7 linked regions of the Nothobranchius furzeri genome follow. The protein of the gene in region 2 purifies or fractionates together with the protein of the main gene of each other region. This does not show direct contact. Links are inferred from orthologs where the notes say so. Each region holds a gene or a part of one and is shown on either strand. Other genes may lie near its edges.

The links.
Region 1: the proteins of aurka (region 2) and calcoco1a purify together in Homo sapiens (affinity purification with mass spectrometry; 3 studies listed by BioGRID and IntAct, counting the BioPlex papers as one, with this or other methods). This does not show direct contact. The link is inferred for Nothobranchius furzeri from reciprocal best matches to the Homo sapiens genes AURKA and CALCOCO1.
Region 3: the proteins of aurka (region 2) and arfgap1 purify together in Homo sapiens (affinity purification with mass spectrometry; 3 studies listed by BioGRID and IntAct, counting the BioPlex papers as one, with this or other methods). This does not show direct contact. The link is inferred for Nothobranchius furzeri from reciprocal best matches to the Homo sapiens genes AURKA and ARFGAP1.
Region 4: the proteins of aurka (region 2) and ppp6r3 purify together in Homo sapiens (affinity purification with mass spectrometry; 6 studies listed by BioGRID and IntAct, counting the BioPlex papers as one, with this or other methods). This does not show direct contact. The link is inferred for Nothobranchius furzeri from reciprocal best matches to the Homo sapiens genes AURKA and PPP6R3.
Region 5: the proteins of aurka (region 2) and fbxw7 purify together in Homo sapiens (affinity purification with western blotting; 5 studies listed by BioGRID). This does not show direct contact. The link is inferred for Nothobranchius furzeri from reciprocal best matches to the Homo sapiens genes AURKA and FBXW7.
Region 6: the proteins of aurka (region 2) and mtmr3 purify together in Homo sapiens (affinity purification with mass spectrometry; 3 studies listed by BioGRID and IntAct, counting the BioPlex papers as one, with this or other methods). This does not show direct contact. The link is inferred for Nothobranchius furzeri from reciprocal best matches to the Homo sapiens genes AURKA and MTMR3.
Region 7: the proteins of aurka (region 2) and ppp6r2b purify together in Homo sapiens (affinity purification with mass spectrometry; 4 studies listed by BioGRID and IntAct, counting the BioPlex papers as one, with this or other methods). This does not show direct contact. The link is inferred for Nothobranchius furzeri from reciprocal best matches to the Homo sapiens genes AURKA and PPP6R2.

Annotation. Positions count from the first base shown.
Region 1 is NC_091755.1:25,999,863-26,003,362, forward strand, and holds part of calcoco1a (calcium-binding and coiled-coil domain-containing protein 1), read left to right. Parts: coding exon 1-34; intron 35-355; coding exon 356-447; intron 448-3,105; coding exon 3,106-3,133; 3' UTR 3,134-3,500. UniProt on the Homo sapiens protein: Functions as a coactivator for aryl hydrocarbon and nuclear receptors (NR). Recruited to promoters through its contact with the N-terminal basic helix-loop-helix-Per-Arnt-Sim (PAS) domain of transcription factors or coactivators, such as NCOA2.
Region 2 is NC_091743.1:61,016,374-61,020,528, forward strand, and holds the start of aurka (aurora kinase A), read left to right. Parts: upstream 1-1,355; 5' UTR 1,356-1,432; intron 1,433-1,479; exon of another isoform or gene 1,480-1,681; intron 1,682-1,930; 5' UTR 1,931-1,933; coding exon 1,934-1,996; intron 1,997-2,692; coding exon 2,693-3,002; intron 3,003-3,084; coding exon 3,085-3,121; intron 3,122-3,212; coding exon 3,213-3,404; intron 3,405-3,513; coding exon 3,514-3,652; intron 3,653-3,755; coding exon 3,756-3,904; intron 3,905-4,056; coding exon 4,057-4,155. UniProt on the Homo sapiens protein: Mitotic serine/threonine kinase that contributes to the regulation of cell cycle progression.
Region 3 is NC_091743.1:50,667,414-50,670,913, forward strand, and holds part of arfgap1 (ADP-ribosylation factor GTPase-activating protein 1), read left to right. Parts: intron 1-1,191; coding exon 1,192-1,248; intron 1,249-2,929; coding exon 2,930-2,989; intron 2,990-3,500. UniProt on the Homo sapiens protein: GTPase-activating protein (GAP) for the ADP ribosylation factor 1 (ARF1). Involved in membrane trafficking and /or vesicle transport.
Region 4 is NC_091754.1:42,088,315-42,091,814, forward strand, and holds part of ppp6r3 (serine/threonine-protein phosphatase 6 regulatory subunit 3), read left to right. Parts: coding exon 1-98; intron 99-256; coding exon 257-342; intron 343-740; coding exon 741-827; intron 828-1,878; coding exon 1,879-1,976; intron 1,977-2,404; coding exon 2,405-2,459; intron 2,460-2,566; coding exon 2,567-2,697; intron 2,698-3,500.
Region 5 is NC_091747.1:80,809,342-80,812,841, reverse strand, and holds part of fbxw7 (F-box/WD repeat-containing protein 7), read left to right. Parts: intron 1-944; coding exon 945-1,193; intron 1,194-1,281; coding exon 1,282-1,797; intron 1,798-3,500. UniProt on the Homo sapiens protein: Substrate recognition component of a SCF (SKP1-CUL1-F-box protein) E3 ubiquitin-protein ligase complex which mediates the ubiquitination and subsequent proteasomal degradation of target proteins.
Region 6 is NC_091757.1:28,521,842-28,525,945, reverse strand, and holds the start of mtmr3 (myotubularin-related protein 3), read right to left. Parts: upstream 2,801-4,104; 5' UTR 2,595-2,800; intron 1,284-2,594; 5' UTR 1,209-1,283; intron 1-1,208. UniProt on the Homo sapiens protein: Lipid phosphatase that specifically dephosphorylates the D-3 position of phosphatidylinositol 3-phosphate and phosphatidylinositol 3,5-bisphosphate, generating phosphatidylinositol and phosphatidylinositol 5-phosphate.
Region 7 is NC_091744.1:70,734,890-70,738,389, forward strand, and holds part of ppp6r2b (serine/threonine-protein phosphatase 6 regulatory subunit 2), read right to left. Parts: intron 3,388-3,500; exon of another isoform or gene 3,237-3,387; intron 3,122-3,236; exon of another isoform or gene 2,982-3,121; intron 1,846-2,981; 5' UTR 1,818-1,845; coding exon 1,690-1,817; intron 1,579-1,689; coding exon 1,480-1,578; intron 1,199-1,479; coding exon 1,012-1,198; intron 1-1,011. UniProt on the Homo sapiens protein: Regulatory subunit of protein phosphatase 6 (PP6). May function as a scaffolding PP6 subunit. Involved in the PP6-mediated dephosphorylation of NFKBIE opposing its degradation in response to TNF-alpha.

The sequences.
Region 1 (3,500 bases), on a different chromosome or scaffold from region 2:
GACCGCCGACTCTCAGGCACACAGCTCGGATTCGGTGAGACGCCCTATCAGATCCGTTCATCGTGGCCATAGTTTAATTATATGTGATACTGAAAATGAGCTACGGCTTCATGCTAATAGCAAAGCACACCAGTTAAACACGGGCAGCGGGTCGTTTGATACGGACATTATCTCATGGAGGCAATTAGGTTGCTAGTTGACAAGTTATTAGTCTGTAATAGCCGCTGGAGAGATATGAGTTAAGCATGTGTGTGTGTGTGTGTGTGTGTGTGTGTGTGTGTGTGTGTGTGTGTGTGTGTGTGTGTGTGTGTGTGTGTGTGTGTGTGTGTGTGTGTGTGTGTGTGTGTGTGTGTAGGAGGAGGAATCTGATCCAATTCCGTGTGGAAGGAAAAGCTCTGGAGAGGAAACGGCCCTTCTGCTGGCTGACTACAAGGATAATGTTCTCAGGTACAAACTCCCACATGAAATTTAAGAACCGCTCCAGTTACAGTTGGAACATTTTACTGATGTTTACGTTTATATTATGTGTTCCAAATTAGGCTAAACTGCCCTCGTTATTCTCAACAATAAAAATCGACACGTTGATGCATCAGTCTGATAATAACGAGCTAAGTTGGCGATTGCAGGGTTTATTTCTCTGTTGACCCCTGGGATCCTGAATGCATAAACTCATATTTACGAGCATATTTTCACTGCTGTATTTGTGTTTTTACTGATTTTTTAATGTATTTAAAGCTACAATGGCATATCTGCAAAACAAGATAGCTCAAAACGTTTTTTTAACAACGTTCTAACTAGGGGTAGACCGATGTATCGGGCTGATATTTACTGTTTTTTTATATATTGTATCGGTCGATATCAGTGAAGCCGATTTAAAGTCAGGAGCCTCCTGCCCGGTGCTGTTGCAGATTTTTGTTTAAATGTTTTTTTTTATGTTCACTAATAACATCTGCATAATAAATACTCAAAATTATTTTATTTAGCTGTCTGTAACAGTGAGCAGTGCACAAAGTTAAGATTGAACAGTTGGTTAAATTCAGAGTTCCAAATCTCATTCAGCTTCAGATATTTTGTGCATCAACTGATGTTATTAGTGACATTTTAGCATGAAGATAAGGTGGAAAATGTCTTGGTAATGGCTGTGAAAATCGGCCCTTGAAAACCTGCAGTGCATCCGCTTACCATGCCTCCTACATATCTGCGTCCGCAATAGAAAAACCAATATCTGTCGACCTCTAGTTCTGTAAACATATACAGTACACTGAAGTTTAAAAAAAAAATAGTGAAGCGGTTCTCTCACATTTGTCTAAAGATATCAGCCAATAACACGGCTTGGTTTGGAACCAGCGATTGGACCATCCGGTTGTCTGTCTCACCGAGTCCCAAAAGGAAAAGCAACATTTTGAGTTGTGGAAAGCAAAAGACGTTTGGACCTAGAAAATTGCAACTGCTGTTTGGCTCTCTCTCGTTTCCTGTTGCTGTGCTTTCCTACATCATGGAGGTGTGGCTTAGCCAACAGGAGGTGTGAGGTGTTTGTGTTTAAAGATCAAGTCACCCCAAATAAACATTTTTTGCTGATAAACTACATAAACGAGTGTCTGATCGTGCTGTAGACACGTGTAGCCAATAATTTAGTACTTTAGTGCATCTTAGTTAAACTTTTAATATTTTGCCTAAAACTGTTAGTATTCAGGTAAAAACTATGCACTACATTTTAATTTAACTCTGACATCGCTAGTGGATGTACACTATGGCATTAGCTGATACCATATGATGTCACAATGCCGCTGTGAGCCTGTGTGTGTGCTTGTTTTGTTAGAGGCTCCGGCCTCTCGGTCTGCCAGTCAATGCCTCCTTGTGGCGTATTTTTCAAACAGGAAATGGGAGTGGAGTTAGACCCTGGTGACTTGCCCTTTAAAAGCTAGATTGTTTTGCAGATTTGCCATTGCTACTTTAGTTTTGTGACCTCAAAATAATAAATGTCACAGATGGTTTAGCAAATTAATTACTAGTTTTATAGCATCTTAGGCAGAAATGAGGACTTTCTAACACTCAACAGTCTGATGTTTTGGTGCAGGAAAATATCTAATGATGAAAAACAGATAAGAAAATTAGTTTGGTAACACTTCACAATAAGGGTCCCATTATTAACGCTACTTAGTGCATTATTAAGCATTAATAAACTATTTCATAAAGTATTATAAACTGCTTAATAATAATGTTAAGTGATGCATTACCAATTAGACATTCTGCCTTGCCATGTATCCTAACCTTAAGCACACTTGATAGTAAACAGTAACGTGTTACTAAAGAGACCCTTTGTTTATTAATGTTTAATAATGCACTAAGTAATGTTAATAAAGGGAACCTTATTGTAAAGTGTTGCCAGTTGGTTTTAATCCAAAAGTTGTAGGGATCTTTCCGTCATGATGACTGGTTTTAAACTTCTGCTGTACTTTAAGAGCTCGTGAGTTGATTTGTGTGGATAATAAACTCCTGCAAACCAGCTCACGTCAAAACGCGGTGGAGTAAGAAATATGTTTTCTCCCGGGATTTTAAAAGTGACACTCTAAATGATTCCCAAAGTGGAAGAACGTATTAATTATACGAACTGAAGCACAGTTTGTTACTTTGCCTCTCTGGCCTCACAGAGGAAGCTTCTCACTGAATTCAGAGCCTGCAAATGCTCACGGGCAAAACGCGGGCCGTTATTTACTGTGACAGGCTCGCTGTGGCTGGAAGATGGAAGTTTTGAATATGTGCTCATAAAAGAAGTTGAGTCAGGGTGAAGCGGGGGAGACTGTTGGAGACAGAGTTGGAGGGGTAAGATGGGAGGACGAGGGGACAGACAATTTGACAGCAAGCTGTAGCAATGATTTACCTGAGGGGTGTGCCATAGTCACGGGCCAATTTTCAGCATCGTTAAGGCTCTCATTCTCCCACTCAGCTGCTCCTGCAGTCTTAGCCTCCTTATTCAACCAGTGTGTGTGTGTGTGTGTGTGTGTGTGTGTGTGTGTGTGTGTGTGTGTGTGTGTGTGTGTGTGTGTGTGTGTGTGTGTTCTTTTGAATTTTAACACACACTTTCTGCTTTGTGCCTTCCTCCAGTGATCTGGCTGACACTTCCCTATGGTGACGAGAGGACATCCAGCTACGACAACAAGAGGACTTTGAAGTTTGTTGTGGAACCTCCAAGCACACAAACACAATGTTAATATGCAATAACTTTATATCTGAAGCCAGCCTCATTTTTTCCCTCTCTAGATGGTTTTTGTCTCCACTCTGATGTTTCAGAGCCGTGGAAGGAAAGGATTTAGTTGAATCATTGCTGTGTCGAGAGCTTTACGACGGATGTAATGTCGTTTTTATGGGATTGTGATTAGGAGCCGCGGCAGGCGCTGTAATTATGATGTTTTGTGCAAACTCGTCTTCTTAGGAAATCACAGCAAAATCTGATCAAGCATTACATTTTTGGGGGAAACTTCATGGCAGCATCAACTATT
Region 2 (4,155 bases):
GTTTAAATACCTCCGCCATTGTATGTTTGGATTGGCAAGAAGACTTCAGAGGCACCTGGTGGAACTGGAAAGGAGAACAAGTGCCAAAGCAGATGCAGCGTTTTAGCCAGATTGTCGCACACACCTTTGCCAGATGTGCTTTTTATTTTGTAACAACCTCAGAATGTCAACAATGTTTCATCTGGTAGAAAATAGTATGAAGAAAACCAGATTTGTGGAGGGGTTTGCAAATAAACTAAGATGGCAGAAATATTTTTGTCAGCAGATTTCAAATGCAATTTGTGTCAATTATAAATGTAAGAAGTGCGGTTTGATTAGCTAAGGTGAGACCTAAAATATGAGGATTCAAAGTTTAACAGTTATGTCTGTTTATGTTTGAAAAACATCTCAAGTTTTTTCCTGTGGGACCGCATTCATGTAACGCCTCTCTGTAACAAGCAACTTGGTTCTGACTGTACTCTGTTATAACTTAGTTATTTTATTTCAATGGAAGGGATCAATGTTTTTGCCATATTTATATTTAATTAGAAGACCTTCTCAAGTGTTGCGCCATTGTAATGTGGACATTAATGTGTCCAACAGGAACTTGACCAGTTTATCAGCTTCCACACTAGATCCTGTCTGTTTACCTTCATCTTGAGGCCTTTGCAGTGACACATTTTAGTATCAAAGCTCTGCTGCACATGTTGTGGAGGCTGATCTAAATTCTCGAATGGTTACAAAGTGCATTTGAGAGGGTCTTCAAGTGGCTGCACTACTTTTTTATTGTATGCATTTGTAACATTTAATATATTTATTTTGTAAAACTGTTTTAAGAAGTGCAATGTTAGTTTCTTGATTGTAAAATTTTAGGACACATTCTACGTTAAAGGTAGCTTGCATAGATGTCTGTGGAAAGTGCACGAGTGCATGATGTGGCAATAAAATGTCAATTCTATGTGAAAAACAGTGTCCAGTGGTATTGCTTTGTCAAATGTTAGTTCTTATTATCTTTTCAAGATTTTTATTCATCAAATACCATACTGTAAAAAAAGCTTTTCCTCTCCACTTATCAATACAAAATTCGATTATTTAAAAATAAAATGAAAAATGTGTGAAGTGCACACATGTATCAGAAATTTGTAAACAATTGGGAAATTGGTCAAACGTGGACTGCTAAAGGTATAAATTTGATATTTTCAGGAGCACTTTTTCCTGGACTCCATATTCAACCATTCCTCTACTGCCCCCTACCGGTTGGAATGATTCTTTTTACGTCATCCTGTTTCCGTTTTTTTTTCATATCATAACAGCCAATGGAAGGCGAATTTAGAGCATTCATTCAACCAATGAAAGCCGTTTGTTTCTTTAAAGGTTTTGAACAGAGGGACGTTTGAAATTAAACAGGCTGCGATTAAGGAAAGTGTCCTCCGGACAAGCATTTTTCCTCAGAGTACGCACTTTTGCGTGACTAAAATTTGTTAGCTAATTTCAAACCATAGTTTACGACACGGATATTGCTACATTGTTTGATTACTGCTGTTTGCCTTACATGTAATTAGAAGACATCGACATTACCTGTTCAACCGATCGATGTAGCTGCTAGCAAGCCTGGGTAAAGGGTTACCTGCTCGGGGGCTGCTTTCATTTAGGGTCAATCAACTAGTTGCTGCTCATTTGGTTATCGTGCAATACTATTTAGGTGAGTAGTTAAACTAACCTGTCTTTATTACCAGCAGTTGTGTCAGACGACTTGACATACTAGCAGCTATGCTAGGCTAGGCTAACGCGAAGCTGTTCTCTTTATACGTTTGAATGACCGTGCCAGAGTGGATGCTGGGGGTTACTTTTACATTTTGTCACTATTATTTTGAAGAAAGCTGCCACGAGAGTTTTATTTTAGTAGTGGTGGAGTTTAGTCATGTTTGAGTTATACCTGATGTCTTCTCAGACTATGGACTCTTCCACCACGCTGAAGGTTGCAGGGCTCGTGAAACCTCCAAGGCCTGTTGTAAAGGTAAAGCAAGTCTAGTTTAATATAAAACAGTCAGCCAGGTGTTGACACGTAAATCTCATGTTGATCTTGAGGCTCTGGGTTAAACTTAAATTTAGCAACGTAGTGCCTTACACAAGCATATGTGGGCAAATATTAATTAGAAGTAATGTACAAAGAAAAGTCAGTCATTCAATCTTGTATTATTGATGGCAAAATGTTCTGTTATTGTTGGCTTGTGTGTTGATTGGTCTCTAGTGTTATTGGAATATCTCACGAGTCATTGGGTAGTTCACAGCTAAACTTGGGAAATAATCATTGGATTGACTAACTTAACTCTTGATTCAAGATGGCTGCCACAGCTAATCAAGATTAGCAATCACAGAAATGACTAGCTCAGACATTTTTTTACATACATGGTCTTCAATTTTGGTGCGACAGTCTGAGTAATCCCAAATTCCCAATCTTGCACCACTATAACGCTGAACATCTTCGCTTACTTAACTTGCAAAAACGTTTCATGGACCACTGGAGGGAATTTAATGAAACACTTAAAAGTTGTCATTGGATCTACATCCAAACCAGAATGTTGGTAGAGAAGTATGAAATATCTTTTAAAACTACATATTTCTAGACCTACTACTTATTTTTTCATTCATCACTTTGTGTAAAATTGCTGTAAATCTGATTCTAATAGTTAATGACCTCTTGTGATTGCAGTCCAGTGGTGACGGGCCGAGGCGTGTTCCTGTATCGCATAACTCAAAGGCCGTTGTCACACCAACTCAGCCACGAGTCCTCGGTGTGTCCAATGGTCCCCAGCGCGTTCAGCGGCCAGTCAGTCATCAGAAACCAGTGTCTCAGGTCTCTGTTGTTAAGTCAAAACAGCCTGCTGACCAGAATGCAAACCCTGCTACACCATGTTCAAATCCACCACAACCAAAGCCTGTTTCCCAGCAAAACCAGCCGACGACCCATGTACCCAGTGCCAAGCCTCCCTCTGATCCTGCAAAGCAGGCAAAGCCACAGAGTATGCACATTTCTAAAATAAACAAGAATAAGCAAGTGTTTGTTGTAGACACTAAAATATCCTTTTTTTTTTTTTTTTTAAGACAAACCTGCCAAGACTAATCAGGTGGCCCCATCAAAGTACGTCAAGTGCACATTCTACATTCTATTTGTGCAATAATTCAACAGATCAGAATAGGATTTCTAACTCTGTACTGCTGTGTAAATGCAGAACGCGGTGGTGCCTGGAAAACTTCGATATCGGCCGTCCCTTGGGGAAGGGCAAGTTTGGGAACGTCTACTTGGCGAGGGAGCGTCAGACTAAATTCATCTTGGCCCTGAAGGTGCTCTTCAAGAACCAGCTTGAGAAGGCTGGGGTGGAACACCAGCTGAGGAGAGAGGTGGAGATTCAGTCTCATCTCAGGTGATGTGATGTGAAAATTACAATAAAACACCAATCTAAACTTTATCCTCTGTCTTGAGTTCCTTTAAGACAGTTTCACAGAATTCTCTCCTGCATGGGTTTCATACAGGCATCCGAACATCCTTCGTCTCTATGGCTACTTCCATGATGCGACCCGTGTGTATCTCATCCTTGAGTTTGCACCTAAGGGAGAGCTGTACGGCGAGCTGCAGAAGTGTGGAAGTTTCCCAGAAGACAGGAGTGCAACAGTAAGTTAAAAACACTTCAAACTTCAAACACAGTCAACATTCCACAGGTTTATTGAAGGTGTACTCTTAATTCCACTTACTGTTTTTTCTTTTGTGTTATTAGTACATTATGGAGCTGGCAGATGCTCTCCACTATTGCCACATCAAGAATGTGATCCACAGAGACATCAAACCAGAGAATTTGCTCCTGGGAGGCAACGGGGAGCTGAAGATCGCTGACTTTGGCTGGTCTGTTCACACCCCTTCATCCAGGTACGCAGATGTGTTTAATGCAACTTCTTACTGTGTTTTATGGGCTCTGGTCTGCTGATGTTGAGGATCGTTGTCTGGTTTTTCTTTGTGTGACGATCTTTTCTGTCCTTGCATAATAAAGTCCTATTTTAGAAATGTTTTTACCCCTGCAGAAGGTCCACTCTGTGTGGAACACTTGACTACTTGCCCCCAGAAATGATTGAAGGCAAAACCCATGATGAAAAGGTGGACCTTTGGAGCCTGGGGGTCCT
Region 3 (3,500 bases), about 10 Mb from region 2:
TGTTTGAATTAGAAAAGCAACGCAGATCTACCTCGCACTGAACTGGCTTTCATGGACTGATCCATCTTGTCTCTCGATGGGGAAGACTGGTGTTGGTTTAGTGTCCAGGAAACAGAAAATCTTGGCTAGTAGAAGCTAACTGTTAGCATTAACAACTCCACCACACAGCAGAACTCCTTCAGGCTTGTGTTATTTGTGGAGGTAAAACATCAACGTTGCAAAGTATATGGAATCGGTGGTAGTCGTGTTGCTGTTAGCCAATCAGCGGTGAGAAATATCAGGAAATAATGGTGCGTTCGATTTGTCCTTGGAACTTGGAAATCCCGACTTCCAAGTAGAAAAAATTAAATGAAACGGCCCCAAAGTCGGACCTCCTAGTCGGAAACTGGGAAGAATTTCAGAACTTTGACCTAGACATCCTAAATGGCAGCTCTTCGTATCAACAACAGTTTTAGTTGAAATGTGTTTATTGTACAAGACACATAAGAGTTTGTTTAAAATCAATGGTACACGTAGCGCATGCAAGCTTTTCTCTTCAAATATGTTTTGTAGATTTATGTGTTTATTAGTCGTCTGCGTTCGTTGAGAACTGACAAAACAGCAGTTTTCCAGGATATCGCCATAATGAAATCTCGACCTTTCTGACTACGGCAACCAAAATGCGGTTTATTCGAGTGTGACGTCATTCCCAGTTCGGACTTCAGAGGTAAATCGAATGCACCATAAGACTCAAGTCTGCCATGTTCTGCTTCCTACTCTGAAACATGAGCGCCAGAGCTTTTTTTCCCACAGAGATCGTCTAACAAAGCATTCGTTTATGAGAGACCACTGCAATTGTGTTGAAAAACAAGTGAACTTGGTCTTTAACTCAGAACATTGACAAACTACACTGATTTATATTTGAGTCATTTTCACAACTTTTGGGAACAGTTGTAGAAAAAGGCTCTGATTTTATGTGAACCATAAAACCTGAAAGCCAGAGAATAATGAATGTTGATTCAGCGCTGTCCTTACAAAGTAATCTAATTAAAAGCTCTATCTTTTTGACCATTACACCCTCTAGAGGCTGATTTTCATTGTCTCTGTGAATAGAAATGTTCTTTCTCTTGATGCAGCTGAAGAACATCGTGCTGGAATGTGAACGTTAAAATGTTTTATTGAAGTAAACTCTCCTTTCTGACTCCCAACTAGGCCACAGAGTTAGGACAGACTTTAAATGAGAATGTTATCAAACCTACTCAAGAAAAGGTAACATTGATGTTTGAAGTTGTTGATTTGGTGGTGGGATGCAATGCTTTAGACAAGAAACAGCTTCAGATGTGAATGTGCTATTTTCTGCGTTGTGCTGCTCTTCATCTTTATCTCTGCTGTGCCAGCTTACATTAAAAGACAAAGTCTTCAGTCTTAAATGGGCCAAAAAAATTCTCCTGCCTGTCGGTGACTCAGCTGGTAGATTTGGGGCCAAATCCAGCTGTGAACGGTTTATCGGAGAACATCTGAGTCCATAAGTCATAACACAGTCCCTGGATTTAGCTTTAAATGGTTTTTGTCAGTTTTAAATACATTTTAATAACCGTTTTTAATTTTTACTTCTGAGAAAAAATCTGCTTTTTTATCATTTGAATGAGAGGCTGACCTGTATTTAAAGTAGAAAGTAATTTAGGTGTGGGATTATTTTATACTAAATGCTGTAAAAGGCTGATGTGTTTTAGGGCTTAATTTAGTTTTTCTATTGAACAGAGGAGATGGTTGATCTGAGCAGCTGTTCCACAGATCAACAAACCTCTTTTCCAGATCTGTTTTGGTTTATCCATGCTTTTGGTCCACACTTGTCTCATCTTACAGTTAATTTACTGTGAAACACGAGCTTTACAGTTCAGTGTTATTTACAAAGATACACTGGTGGCATTTAGCAAACATATTTTATTCAGGAATAAATTAACTGATAAGTTTTTCTAAATCAGGTTTAATCTTTAAATAATCTGCACCCTTAAGCCGGTCTTTATTGATCCCAAAAAATGGAAAATAATTTTTAGTTTTTGAGATTGTTTTTGTGAACTCTCTTTATATAAATAAACACAATCGGCAGCTCCTCGTTTGAAAATTGTACACTGATCGGCCGTAACGGTAAGGCCTCTGAGAGCTGAAGTCTGTTCGTTTCTGTGAGGGAAGACAAAGGTTGGTATTAACGCTGAAACATCTCTACAGGTTGATCACACCTCTGACATGGCACCAGCAATCCTCCATTTAAACAGCTACATGTATTTGCCCAACAGGGTGAAATGGGGTGGGTAGCAAACTGATCTATACTCCCAACAGTAGAGATCAGTACTCGGGGTGTTTTACATTCTGTCAGAGCCGGTTTGTCGGCAGCAGCGAGACACGGACACATGTCAGCTGATCTGTGTACATCTTTGCAGATGTTTTGACTTCAAACTTTCTCTACTTGGGTTCTTCTTTGACCTAAATATTACCTTACCATATAAGGTGATGGTAAATATTCTCTGAAATAAATACTTCTGCTTAACACCTTCAGTTTTAACTATCAAGTGAGAAGCTGCTGAGATGTGTTTAAATGGGAAAACAATGATTTTTTTTTAAATTAAACAAATACCGAAAAAGCACCTTAGAAGTGACTTCATGAAATTATGGAAAAAACAAAACAATCTCATTGGGTGCTTAGAAATCCAGAAAGATTAAGGCGAATAGATTTAGTCTTTTAATGTACAGCTGGCGTTGCTAACTAAACAAATGTGTGGTATGTGTGTGTCTACCTGTGTCACTTTTTGTCTTAATTAGTGCCGTTAAAACAAAATCACTTTCCTCATCTGAACAAGATAAATCTTCACAACAGAATATTTGTAGCAAACTTACTGACTATCAGCATTTGTGACTTTGAAAGATTTTAATCCTAATTTGGCTCATCCAGGTCAAAGATGGCAAATTGCTAGATGAAATGGCGGTCAGCATCACAGGGCTGGCAAACAAGGTAGGATGGGCAGATGTCTGCCACGCTGTACGGATGCAAATCCAGCCTCCTGAGTGAGAGGAGTCGGCACAGATTCAATACCATCTCACTTCACCCGGGCTTTAAATCTGCACCCGTGGTGTACCGATGGTTCTGCTCAGAGTTTTATTGGGCTTTCTTTACGGTATTTACTACCCTCTCAGGAGACTGGGTTTGTAGTGCTGATGATAATGAACAATGCTAATTAAATGTGATCTCTTGTGTTTTTGTGCTGCTGTTGATATTTTGGTGGTGAGTACAATGTTGAAGTGTCATGATTACCCTCCATTGAAGCAGAAATCAAAGAGTTTTTTGTCAGAAGGCACCATCTAGAGGTGGAAAATGCACCACACCTTTAAAGGGATACTTTGCAACTTTTTCATATGTTTACATGATTTTCTTGAGCCAGTATGTGCTAATATGAACATTTACAAGGTTAATGAAAGGCCACCCAGTTCCCATCGCCCCCTGTGGCCAAAATATTCCTTGTGCA
Region 4 (3,500 bases), on a different chromosome or scaffold from region 2:
ACGAGGCTACATGGGTCACCTTACCAGAATAGCCAATTCTGTGGTTCATAACAGTGAGAAAGGTCCCAATGGACCTCAGATACAGCAGCTCATCTCTGGTGAGGACTCACACTTTTCTTGTTGTCTTTAGGTTTAAAACAACCAGCAGAATTCATTTGATTTGTCAAACAGAGCAAACACTGTGAACAGATCAGGATGAAAGTTGTTTGAGTGAAATCTGGGACACCGGGTTTATGGAAGTCCGTTTGTGTCACAGAGTTACCGGCAGCGGACAGAGAGAAATGGGAGGCGTTTATTTCTGGGCAGCTCGCTGACACAAATAAAAGAAACACAGTCGACCTGGTGAGTGACCTTATCGACATGCTGCGTTTAAGTCTAATCCCAACCATTTGTGATATATGTAAGATAACGTTAGAGGAAACACAAGAGCTAATGAAAGGAAACCTGAATTTTCTCTGGAGGAAGCTCCCTCTGTTTGTCATTAACACATTAGCTGGGGTTTCTAGCCACCACGTCAATGAGATAATGTTTAATTCTGCTTGGTAAGACTCGGTGAAACGCCAGTCCAGCAGGAGTAAATAGTTAGCACGGTGCCTGATATAGTTCTTGATGAGAAAACAGAAACTGCCAGAATTTGATTTGGCAGTTTAGTGAATGCCAAAAAGCATTTTGATCCATTAATTAAGTGTTGGATCTTTAAAAAACAGTCGAGTCTGACACTAAAATGGATATTTTCTCAGGTGAACACACAACACATTCATTCTTCCAGTGATGATGAAGTGGACTTTAAAGACAGTGGCTTTCACCAAGACTCCTCACTTCAACAGGTAAGACCCAGACACACTCAGTCCAGACCCACATGTGCAAACGGTGTCCTCATTCCAGTTAAGTTTGTCAGATCATGTAAATGTTTGTAAAACTCTTCTGTAACCGGTTGCAGTAGGGGGACGTATTGAGTACGTAGTTTTAGTAGAAAGATGTTGCCATTAGCGGTAATAAAAGGACCGTTTGTATTTGTGAGCTGCACAGCTTAGCTTAGTGAGTTTCACTGTTGGTCCACTTTGTTTGGGTTAATTTTTCCATTAAATAATGAAGTGTTATTTGCGTGATTTAAGTGCAGCAAATAAAAGTTCCTAGGCGAGTTTCTGCACGGACGCTGTATTGAGTGACGCATGATGGCTGCACACGCCCAGCTGCTACTGGAGCCCGTAGAGACGCTGAACGGAGCGTCGCTTCGCCCCTCCCCCTCTCAACAGTGTGCAGACACACAGCGGCAAAACTGTAAACAAACATGTCTGCTGAACTTTCCCCTGGGAAAGCATCAGCAGTCAAACACAACACTCGTCTGTATGAGCGTGACTCTCATAGCTGCACAAATGACCTGTGAAATAGTTAAAGACATCATGTTAGATCTGTGATGACTCCTGGTTCTGATCACTGCAGGAGCCGCTTCGGATATTAAATATAATAATAATAATATACCCAAAATTATCAAACCGAGCTCTTCAAAACACCAAACCAATGACGATTTTAGCGTACCGTTACACCCCTATGAGTTCAGATGTATAACATCCAAATCCTCTGTGTCCGTTTGCATCACAATAATTATTTTCCACTCGTACTCAATAACTCTCTCTACTGCCAAAGTTTCTCTTGTTTTAAAATGCTTTTACATGCATGACTGCTAGTTTAGAGTTTGTCTTTAACAGCATTCTTGACTCCTCTTATTTTTAAACAGCAGAATATGATTTCAGACGGAGTCCTAATGTATTTGAACAGCCAGACTCTGGGATTGTTATACGTGTTTAGGCTTTTGCTGCAATGAGGAGCTGTGTTTAGAGCCAAGCTTAAAAACTTGTTGGTTTTGGGTTCTGCCAGGCCTTTTCTGATTATCAGATGCAACAAATGACCTCCAATTTTATTGAGCAGTTCGGCTTCAACGACGAAGAGTTTGCAGATCAGGACGATGTTGTGGAGTGAGTACTCATCCTGCATGGCTGCACTTGTCTGAACATTACTGTGCAACTCTGAAGTAACACTTAGTTATATGGGGTTTTATTCATTCATTCATTATATAATCTCTTATTTGATTTGGTAAGTAATAAAATGTCATGTTTTCTGTCTCGCTGGACCCGCCATCACATCTACACAAACAATTTACACATAGCTGAAACGTGTCGCTTCTTGGTGAAAATCAGCATTTTTGAAGCCACATATGGCTCTTTCTAAACAAACATTTTGAGGGAAGGGTCACACCTTCCAAGTTTGCAGGTAATGACAGAGGCACATTTATAACAGCATGTCACCTCATTTTGGTGTGAGTAACTGGATATAATCAGTAGTGTTTTTCTTTCAGTGTTCCTCATGACCCAAGTTAAACTTGTCTTTCTTTTTGACGTTGCAGTATTCCCTTTGATAGAATATCAGACATCAATTTTTCATTGAATACAACTGAAAGTGTAAGTACTCTGATTATTGATCCTAGCAGTCTTCTTAGAGGTGCATATCTGAAACCCCACCTGCAGCCACTAAGGGTGCTTCCTCTGTTTTTTGTTTGTTTTTCCAGACAAATCTAGCTTTGTTTGAGGCTCGCTGTAAGGAGAAAATTCAGCAGTTTGATGATGCCGGTTCAGATGAAGAGGACATTTGGGAAGAAAAAGAAGTCACCTTTGCTCCAGAGTCGCAGCGACGTCCAAGGTCATACACCGAGCGCCAGACCACTTACTCTGCTTGTTTAACCTTTGGTCTATGCATGACATCTTTGTGTCCAAGTTTCATGACAGTTTTTGAAATTACTATAAAACTGCATTATTATTGATTAGGGCTGCACGATATTAGGAAAACCTGCGATATTCGATAACGGTGCTTAATATTGCGATATCGATATTACTCACGATAAATGAACAAATACTAAAGTATGCAGTGTTGATGTCGTCTGGCGTGTGACGTCTGCTCTGGGTTCAAAGCAAACAAAAACTAATGCATGAATTCCATTACAACATAACATTTTTATTGCAAAAATATGCAGCTGCACCTGCTACTGTATTAGCAGCAAAACAACAAACTGCATGCATGCAGGTTCTCAGTGACTTAAAAACATCACCTCCACCATAAAACTTTTTCCTGATGCTCCAAATACAGAAAAACATCCCTTACCAGGATTTTTAGAATAAATAAAAAAAAAATCTGAAAATAAGTTTAAATGTTAAATAATAGTTAACATCACTTAAATGCAACAGCAAATTCTCTCATTGCTACTGAGCATTTTCTCCACTTATGTGGTTATGATATAAGGCTGCTGCTGTAATTGGAAAGTGATCTGTGCTGGGCCAAACTAGGAGAGTATTAAGATTTTCTGAGGGAAAGAGAAAAACAATTGTCTACCTTTCAGAAGAGGAGCTGGCAAAAAAAAAAAACTACATGGAAAATATATGAAAATGTTTGTTTTTAACCCCAAATTGAACAAGTTTACCTAGATCTTAAAAAGCAGCTCAGATGAT
Region 5 (3,500 bases), on a different chromosome or scaffold from region 2:
ACTTTTGGTAATTTACAGAATCTGATTTGATCTGTCAACTTTCAGGGTTTAGTATGTTGCCTGATGTAAATTACAATTTCTAACTAGAAAATTCCTGAAGAATTTTTAAAAAGGGACCTGCCAGCTGGCACAAGATAACATTCATACACATGTAAAAAAAATGCCTCTTTAGAAGGCCTGCCATCAAATTCATCCATTATTGTGCACATAATTAAATCATAATCATGCAAAGTTAATGCAAATTTAGACACACTCAAAATGAATAAAAGAATATGTTTTTTGCTAATAATTTCACCATCATAAATCAAAATGCTTAGAAAAGTAAAAGCACACCTCCCACTGCTGAGCCGTTTATTTTGATGTATAATTTGTGGGGGTGCACGCTGCCGCTCGAGCCGCGTTAACGTCCGCGGAAGAATAATAACGGATATTAATATCTAAAACTCCCCAGGTGCATAACAATAAGGTCCCTGCTTGCTGCAGCAGCAGGTCCCTTAATTATTAAGAACGTACTTAAATGAGTAAACTTTAAATTTTATTTGATTAAAGATGAAACAGCAGCTTTCTTTTGGATTTTAGATATTTTAGAACTGTGTGGAGCGACAAGTTTGGAGCTGCAGCTCTCATCTTCTTTTACAGTGAAACAATATTTAGCTTTTGTATTTGACGTATTGTTTTTTCTGTAATTTGACAAACTTACAAGAGAGTTGTTTACATTTATCTCTGACGTTGTGGCTCCTGTCCCAAAACACAATCACACCCATCACTGTTGCTTGTCTGCTGCTGAGCAGCACAATCGGTTTCCCACAAGCTAATTCTCCACATCAATAATATTTAATAACTTGGCTGATTTTATGGAAAGTACTCCAGACAGTTTAAGAGAAGATGAGGAATAACAACCAATGCATTAAGCATAGCTTAAGTGTTCTGTTTGTGTTTTGCAGAATGTCAAGACCATCCCCTCCTCAGACAGCCTAGCGAAGGTTCAGGAGGTAGCAAGCTGGCTTTTGGAAATGAACCAGGATCTGCTGTCGGGGGGCAGCAGCAGCAGGCGGAGCCGGGGCCCCGGGGGTCAGGCAGTACGAGGTAACGCCTCCTCTACGGCCCGGGCACCCCAGCAGGCAGCAGAGGAGGGTGAGGAAGATGATCACATCAACCGGGTGGTTGAGGAAAGCGAGCAGCCACAGCAGAGGGTGAGGTTTTTTTTATTTTGTGCATGTTGGAACATAAACTGGGTTTCCCTAAAAGGTCATTGTTATTCTTCTCTGTGGCGTTTTGCAGCCGGATGCGTCACAGGTTGATGATGAAAGGGAGCAGCCATGGGCACCCGCCGAGTCAGGAGCCAGCAACGGCCCTCAAGGAGAAGCAGACGAGGAGGAGAGAAGAGGAGGCCAGCTAAATGAAGTGACCGGGGATTATAAAGGAGTCCGATGGGTGTGGGGAGCAGAGCAGAGAGCGCTCCGAGGCCAGCCGCACCTCGAAGAGGAGGAAGAAGAGGAAGAAGAGGAGGAGAACAACAATAGCAGCAGCCACCAAGAGGAGGAGGAGACAGAGGAGAGGACAGAGGGAGGGGAGGAACAAGGAAGGGAAGAGGAGGAGAGGGATGAGGGTGAGGAGGAAGAGGAGGAGGAGGATGACGAAGAGATGGACCAAGACAGTGATGAGTTTGAGCAGGAGGAGGAGGAGGAGGAGGAGGTGGGAGATGGGCTCCGCTCCCCCACTCTCAGGAACAAAGTGTCTGCCCCCAGGAATAATCAGGACTCGCTCTTCACACACCAAAGTTCTTCCAACAAGAAGGTAAGCAGCTTAATGGATCCTGTTAGCCGTTCTGCACGTCTGTGAGTAGCTTTACAATCACATCTGGCCAGATGTTCCTGTAGTCTCACAAACTTCTGAAAATGTTCTGCACCAGCGCTGCATTGTTGTTTGAAACAACAGCGCCACCCAGTGGCCAGAATGCTCCAGCACTGTAAAACTCAACACTGTTAGTCAGAAACTTGTTTCATGTTTGATTGGGAAACATGATTTTATATCTGAAATCCAAAAATGCACATCCTGTTTAGCACTTGTAAAGAGTAAACTGTTCAAAGTTTCATGTGAAAGAGTGTTTAGAGTAACACACATTTGTGTTCAGCACCATTTCTTACATTTAGATCCGTATAGTTTTTATTCTTTAGTGGATCCTGTGATTCAGACGCTGTTCTCCATTACAATTCTGTTCAATTCAGTCAGGTTTAGTTCCCCTGGGCCTCTTGTGATCTGACACAGCTGACCGACCAGGTGTGTTTATCAGGGCCTTAGTCACTTGTGGGCCATTCCCATCTGTACCGGGTCGGCCCGGGCCGGGTAGCGTAGGTTGTTTACATATCTGGGTAGCCTGGTATTTTTCCGGGCCTACCAAGGCTCATTCTCAGCCCTCTTCTCGAGGGGGTCTGCTTCAGGCCGACCAGGGCCAACACACCCACTGCTGACAGCAAATTCACACCTTCCATTAGAGCAAGCCTCTGATTGGTGGGTAGAATCAGCCCACATGGGCTTAAGACAAGGATGTGTGGAATCAACCGGGCCAGGCTGGGGCCGACTGGGGCTACCCGGCCCGGGCCGACCCGGTACAGATGGGAATGGCCCATTGGAGGAGCCATCTGGCTTTGCACACATTCTGTTGAGCTGTGGTTAAATGTGCATGGTATTATAGAAGGATCTGTTATGAGTTTAAATTAAAAGTTTCATTAATAGTTTATTTATAACTTAGCAGTTTTCACAACAGAGACCTTTTGTGATTGAGCTGGTTGAGCTGTGTAAAAAGAAACTGACTAAGGCCTGATGTGCCACCAGATTAGGTGGCTTATGACTCATCACAGATGGGTTCTGTCATGGATTTGATCAGTAAGTTTATCAATAACCTATTTCCCTGTAGTCGGAGAGAAAAAGGAGACAATGAACAACAAGTCAAACAGTTATAACTGTGGCAAGATGCCCCAAACATCCGGTCTCATAGTTTATTTATATATATATATATATATATATATATATATATATATATATATATATATATAGAGAGAGAGAGAGAGAGAGAGGAGAGAGGAGAGAGAGAGAGAGAGAGAGAGAGAGAGAGAGAGAATGTGTGTGTGGGAAGTAGGGGTGGGCAATATAAACGAAATAAGGTAGAAACGATCTAAAATTGGGTAATGATAGTGTTTTTGGCTAAATTGCAATACCGCGATATCGCAAAAACACATGACGTCACTAAGATGTGCACCCTGCTGACATTGGGGCAACAGAATGGCAGTGACTACAAGCATGGATTGGGCGGAGGAGGTGGCCTATGTACAGTGGGGCAAAAAAGTATTTAGTCAGGCACCGTTGTGCAAGTTCTCCCGCTTAAAATGATGACAGAGGTCAGTAATTTTCATCATAGGTACACTTCAACTGTGAGAGACAGAATGTGAAAAAAAATCCATGAATTCACATGGCAGGATTTTTAAAGAATTTATTTGTAA
Region 6 (4,104 bases), on a different chromosome or scaffold from region 2:
CAGAGAGATGTAAAACATTTGCACAATTAAAGTTCCTTTCTTGTTTCCAATTATTTCCAGAGAAATTTTAACTGTTTTTGTTCAATTCAGTAATAAAACATCTGAGATGTTTAAAAAATATCATCTGGCTGCAAGAAGAAAAGTAAAATGCAGATAAAACCTGAAAATGCTAAAACTAGGGATGCAACGATATAATCCAAACCGATACGATACCGATACTTGGATCTGAGTACTCGCTGATACCAATTACAGATACCGAAACCTCTACCACACAAAAAAATGCAATGAATTGGAATACAGGTTTTATTTTCTTCTCTGCTTTCAATAGGAAAATAAAATATATTAGTAGAAATGATCAAAAACAAAAATATTAGGTGAACAGAAATGACAGTGAAGCCACTTTCAGGCAACTGCATTGGTATCGGTTCCTGTTAATGATTACCTTTCACCAATACTGGTATCGGCCTGATACCGTGCATCCCTAGCTAAAACCTTCAGGCGGATCCAGTACTGTTCTATACTTGATATAAAAACAAGCAAATGTTTCGACACTCTAAAGGATTTGGTCCTATCCGGAGCTGATCTCACGCTACACATCTAAGAGCTGGTTGGTCGGAGCGGGCCTGGTGAGGAGCAGAAACATGAACTAACAGAACACCAGTGTGTTTGTGTCAGCTGCAGGCATCAAGGCTCGTTCAGCAGCAACAAACAGGATTCTAATCCTCACATGACTCTGCACTAACAGCAGCTAAATAAGAGGAGGATGCAAATAGATTTCCCAAATACTTCCAAAGAATTTCTTTTGGAAATATCATACCTCAAGGTAAACGGGATTACAGAAAAAACAAACGAATAAAAAATGAAAGAAAACACCAGAGGCCCTAAGCTGCAGCAAATTAAAACCAGTAATTATGTGGTAGAAAACTCTGCAAGAGCTCAGCGACTCTCTGAAAACCAGTCAGAAAATTTAATTATGTACAACAAAACTAAAATAATAATCCAAAGATTATCCTGCTTCATTTGGACGATGGTGTGAACCAACGTGCCCAAAGACGTCCTCTCCAGGTAATAAACTGACTTGAATGACCAGGTAAAGGTAAACATGACCACATTTAAACATCTATTCAATATGGCAGCCTGAAGCACCTCACAGAGACAGCTACAGACACTGACGGCTGCAGATGGCCCAGATACAGTACAACACTTACTGCAGAGTATCAGCGGTGGACGGTGTTACTCCTGTTGATCCAGTAGGGAAAATCTCACAAGCAGGACATGAAAATCTGTGGAAATTAAAATGCATAATGAAGAAAAACCTTTCACTTTGAAACATCCTCATACCTTGCAAACAGAAGAAGCCGTATTTATAGAGATGCAGGCTAGAGAAGCCCCTTTGATTCCCTGGCAAAAATAAATGTAGTGGTGATCACAGCGGCGTGCGCGTGAGCTGAGACACCACCAAAGTCAGACCCAGAGAAGCCTGCTGGATATCACGGATGGATGTGAAAGCAGATCGTCACAGAAAACCAAACAACTTTCATATCTCGTCTTCAGGGTGGTGATGGAGAGGTGCATCCAAAACACCAGCAGCCCTGGTGAAGTCCTGCTGCCACCAGAATCCGTGGCTCCTTTTACCACAACCCAACATCTTTTAGTGTTTGAACTCACTAGATTAGTATTTTTCAAGAATGAGATGTTAATGCTTTCTAAAGTAAACTGTATATAAAGTCTTTTCTCTACATGGTCTGTTAGGAATATCTCAGCGCGCTGCCCAACAAATGGTTGCAAAGGTCATCTGCTCCTGCAGAGACTGAAACCTGAGCTAAAGAGGTCAGTGGATGTGGCAGCTCGGGAGAACAACACATCTTTTCATGAGTCCGAGACGAGTCCTTACAAACAGACACAATCCCGTCCAACTCAACGAGAGCTGGGTCCTGACGCCCGGCCTCGGCTCTGCCGCCGCCTGATAAGGCCTATCTGTCCCACTCACGTCTCTGTTTACAAGCCTACGAGCGGAGTCTGGCTGACTTCACGCGGAGGGCTAAGCCTGTTAGAGCTACTCCTGTCCGTGACAGGCTCCGGGCTCTACATATGGTGTTAGCATGCGCAGCACCACTAATGATTAATTTTACTGTTTTACTGGCAGTTTGTTGCTCTAATAATAATAATAATAATAATGGTTGCGTTTAAGTGTGAAGACAGCTGAGACAGCATCATCTAACTAGCTAGCTAGCTAGCTGTTACAGACTAGAGAGAGCCAGCAGCAGTGGTGGTAACATCCTATCAGAGGAAACTCGGCTGCGTTCGCTGTAGCTAACGTTAACGTCAACAGTTAGCATGCTAATCTTCAGCAACATTAGCATGCTAAGGCTTAAATGTAAGTGTTATTAGGATTTAAAGTAGCCCTGTTAAGTACGGCAAGTCGGCTCCTATCAGTCGATGTTTGTCATTAGTTGCTGCACCGCACCACACCACAGCCCAGCAGAGCAGCGCCGCTCTCTGCAACTGTTTTTGTTATGAGATGGAGGGCGGACCCCGGGACAGAGGCCTCTGTCAAAACACACCGAAGGCTCGCCACAGCCGGTGAGACTCACCCGTGAAAGGAGCGAAGTGGTCAGAAGCTCGCGATTCACCCGAAGCCCATGCAAAAACTCAAAAGGAAACTGCTCTCAAACAAACGGGAATTAGTCATATCCGAGCTGAAGCCAGCCTCAGTGCGTCCTCTTCCAGCGCCGAGTCTTCGTCGCCATCGCCGCCGCGAAATCGCCAGCCCAACAACATTCGCGCTTGTGACGCAACGTCGTCAGTGCGACGCTGCGCGAGGGGGCGGGGCTCGAGCAGACCACGCGGTCCGATCATGTAAACACTGGATGGGGTTTTCCCCGGTTTGCCGAAATAACAATGAGACCGTGGCGCTGTACACACACTAAAGCGAGAGGAAGGGGTTGGTATTTTAGCATCCATCTGTGGTGAATCTAAATGTGAGCATGCCTAAAGAATAAAGAAATAACACGACACAGCAAGAGCTTAGTGATGTCTGACTGATGGCTTACATAGGTAATTTTATTTCCCAGAGGCTTGACATACCATTGTTCACTCGTTAACATTTGACAGCCTAACACGTGAGGCATTACAGTAATTTCAGCCTGCAAGTCACTTCTTTATTTGCTCTCCGCTGACTTTCAAAAGACGTTTTCTCCTTTAGGTAACCTCCCACACCCAGCGTGTAAATGTCGTCACAGTCCCAATCGCCCTATTCAAATTCCGCTGACTACCTCCATCATAATTTAGTGACCAATGTCAATTGTTAAACCCATTTTATGTGTATAGCTCTTGTAACAATATAAAAAAAGCTTAGCTTTTTCTGAACTGAGATACAAAAAGTCCCACACCTCTATGATCACACTTCACCACTAAACATATCTGTGAGGAAAATGCATGAGGCATATGATATGGCACAAAATTATTTGGGTTTAAATAGTAAACTGGAAGCCATCTTTAAAAGGTCATCGTTAACTTCCGGTTTTCAAAGAACTGCAATGACTTTGCAAGAGCCATAATTATCAGCTGCACCATGCATGGACTTCACAGTTGTAAAAAGACCTTAAGTGCTGAATCAATGTTCCTGTTCAAAAACAATAACACAAAAAACAGTCCATCACCTTGTCATGAGACCAGAATGACTTGCATGCAAAACAATTAAATGAGCTTTACATGAGAAGATGATGGTCAAGGTAAATACATTTCTTTTTCAGTCAGGTATCTATTACTATAAAAGACAATGAAGTTTTCACATAAGAAATGCCACTTCAAATCATACAGCATATTATGCACAAAATATGGTGGTAAGAACGCTAGCTGTAAAGAATCTGTAGCTCCAGTAGTGAACTAAACAGTGTTTTAGAGAGCAAGTTTACAGATTAAAAATACCCATCCTCCTCTTCCAGGCAACTCCAGTCTACACGCATCTGTGATGAATTACAAAACTGCATCAAACCACTGTTCTACGTGACCGCTGAAATGCTCATAACCATCCAACTTCCTCGTGATTATTTACTAAACGGTTATAACATAGTCGTTCCCTACATCAAGTGTTTATTGTAA
Region 7 (3,500 bases), on a different chromosome or scaffold from region 2:
GAGCAGCTGTGGCTACATCGTAGCTTATCACCACCAGTGAGTGAATGTGTGTGTGAATGGATGAATGATACACTGTAGTGTAAAGCACTTTGAAGTCCTTACTCTGAGAGGCGCTATACAAGTGCGGGTCATTTATCATATAAATATATTTACATCCCAATTGCCTGTATTACGGAAGAGGGTTAGGGCCACTGAAAACAAATAAAAAGAAAAGACAGAATTCTGACCTTTTCCTCAGAATTCTGACTCTTTATGGGATTATTAGTTAGAATTCTGAGGAAAAAAATTAGAATTCTGAGGGGGGGGGGGGGGGGATCATAATTATGAAAAAAAAATGAATTCTGAGAAAAAAATCTGAATTCTGAGATTACAGTCAGAATTCTAAGAAAAATATCAGAACTCTGAAAAAAAGAGTCAGAACTCTGAGGGGGAAAATAAATCAAAATTCTGAGTAAAAAAAAGTCAGAATTCTGAGAAAAAGTCAGAATTCTTTCTTTTCTTTTTTTCTTTTCAGTGGCCCCAAGCCTCTTCTATACTTTTTACATCTTAAACTCAGAAATGTAATACAATCCAAATTCACACATATTGTCACCTGTCATATTAACCTACATAAACCCATTAGTGGATTAAAAACATGCTTCAGTTCTGGTTCTTAACATTTGAAAAATGTGAGCCTGATTACGTGGAAAATCTCCACAGCAACAGTCAGTCAAGCAATTAGATTAGAGGTCACTGAGCTCCTTTTAGACAACACATAAGAAACAAGCTTTTAAACTTTTCCAGCTGCTCTTTAGATATGTTGTTTAAACCTGCCAGATAATCAATCAAACTAATATACAAATCTTGGAGCTTTTTGAGCACAAATAATGTTAGATCATACACAAGAGCAAGACTTTGAGTAAAGGCGCAGCTAAGGCCTCAGAGGTAAGAGTCAGAGCGGTAAGCTGGCAACACTGAAATGTAGTCATAACTTTTTATGAGTAATTTGATTTTGCAGTGTGTGTGCAGTACCTGCTCAGTCTTGCGTGTGATAAGGTTCCCAATTGTCTTGCTAAAGAAAGATGCCAGGAGCGGGTTAAGAGGGGATGGCTGCTCCAGGAAAGCATAAAGAGTTTCTAGAAGTGTCTCATCGTTGCCCAGTTTATCATTTATCACCCCCACATCACACGTGAGCAGCTCACATGCAACATTTGGAAACCTGAAATAAAAATAAAAGAAACAAAAGAACACAATCACACTTCATGTGCTCACATAAAAGTGAGTGTATAGCCGTTTCCATGTATGGACTAAGTTGATTATCACAGGTTTTGGCCATTATAAATGTGTGAATCTGTTATTTGGGTTAGGAATTTCATTAATTGTTTTTTCAGTGGTCTAGAACCATTTATACAGTTGCATGAAAACATTGTAATATAGTGCAGCACCAGCAAAACCCATTTTCCCCCTAGCTGTACAACTTCAGCACAAATAAATCCCTACTTGAAGCGCTTAGTCTCGTCTGCACCAGCAGGGGGCTCTGTCGTAGTCAGCCGAACCAGCTCCTGCATGCACTGGTCCTGGCACAAGAACTGGATGAGTCTAGAAAATCCATGATGGAGGGTAAAAGATCCACAAGTTATTAGATTTATGGCACTGAAAGGGCAGATGTCATTTTGTGTGCTGCTGTGTGTAAAAAAAAAAAAAAAAGACCTCCTGTTTTGGGCCTTGCACTCCTGCAAAACATCTTCTTCATCCAGGAGCTCAGAGAGCGTGACATCCTCCTTGTCCAGCAAGGTCTCCAGATGAGAGGATGTGTGCAAGTCGAACTTCCAAAACATGGCGGACGTCACCAAAACGTACACTTAGCTGAAGACAAATGGGGATTTAACATGGAGATTAAAAAAATAGCTAAGTTCTATCAGTCTTGAGTTTGTTATGGGGGGGGGGGGGGGGGATGGTCACAGGTTATAACGTGTGCAAAAACAAATTTCAAATACACACAAACAGGCTTTATAAATGTCGTACCTTCAGGGTAATCTTACTAAACATCAGACCACTCATGCTAGCAAGATGCATAAACTCTAAAGCGAATGCCTTCATCCTACTCGTGATAGACAGGAAAACATCAAAAATATTAAGCATAATTTGTCAGTGAAGCTCTCTTCTGTCTCCTTTAGAACTAATACACAAAGTCAGATTCAGTGTGGACACGTTTCTCTGAAAGGAGAAAGCAAAGTATCAGTAATTTAATTACTGGAGAACATTTATGCTCTGACATTACAGTGGGAGTGGCATTTGATGTCAGAAAATGGCAACATGGGTCAAGAATGAGGGTAAAAATGTACTGCAGAGGGTAAAAATTTACTGTAGAGTGAAACTTTATGCAGTGTCAGATGCTCTTCTTCGTTGTTGCATGGTTAACATCTGTGTTGGTACAAACTTGAAGTTGTCAGGGGATTATCTTATCTGAGATGTTTCTATGTAACAGCTTTACTCAGCTTATTAAACCACAGAAACATTAAGGGATCCATAATTGCCTAGCATTTATCCAGCCCATCATAAGCCACTAGGCTGGAAGCATGGCTGATAAAACATTAAGGCAAAACAGTGGCCACATATACCACCACAAACTATGTTTTTGTCTAAAAAGAAATACAAACAAATCAATTAACTTCATTTTCCTGATGCACACTGGGGGAGCACACTGCCCTAGTAGTACACAATCTCTTGAGCAAACGTGTGTTTCTGTAAACTAGCGTTAGCAAAACAATAAGTCGTGTTTTGTTTTTTAAATGTAGCTAATAAAACAACCCCACCATCTTTCACGGGCCTCTTTTTCGAGACTTAACGGTTAGCTATTAAATATGTCTGCTACAACAAGCTAACGGTCATGCCACTATAAACTAATTAATGCCCATTAGCTTATCCATACAACTTCAAGCTAACTCACATCCTCGTTTGTCTCCTGCGCTAAACGAAACGACGGTGCCTTTCACACTTACCTCGCATGCAAATCACAAACCATCCCCCTTTAGCATAAGCTGACTCGCATTGGTAACATGGAGCGGAGAAATGCAACGTTTCCAACCCAAACAAGTCGGTAATCTATCATAGCCTGAAGCTACAGCAGATATAGTGGGACGGCGTTCCTCTCATTCAGCTAAAAACAAGCCGTCTGCCAACTTGACAGCAAGGCAGGTTTACACAGGCTTCGCTTTACCTGACACCGCTTTCCCCCAAACACAAGTGACTCTTACCTCCGATCCATCATTTTATCATCTACAAGCTAAATAATAAAAAACGGAAGCTCGGTGACTCTAGTTGTCAGGTCACCCGGAGGCCCATAGCAGCATTTTCGTGACTCTCTCGTTAGCTTAACGGCACTACCTCTTCTCTGGAAGCAATGTCATTTACACTGCCGCTTAACGGTGGATGGTCTACCGTGAAGATGTGCTAGTATAGAGGGCTCATCCTGTCAAAAAAACAAAACAAAACAAAAAAACTGCTATTAAAACTGATAA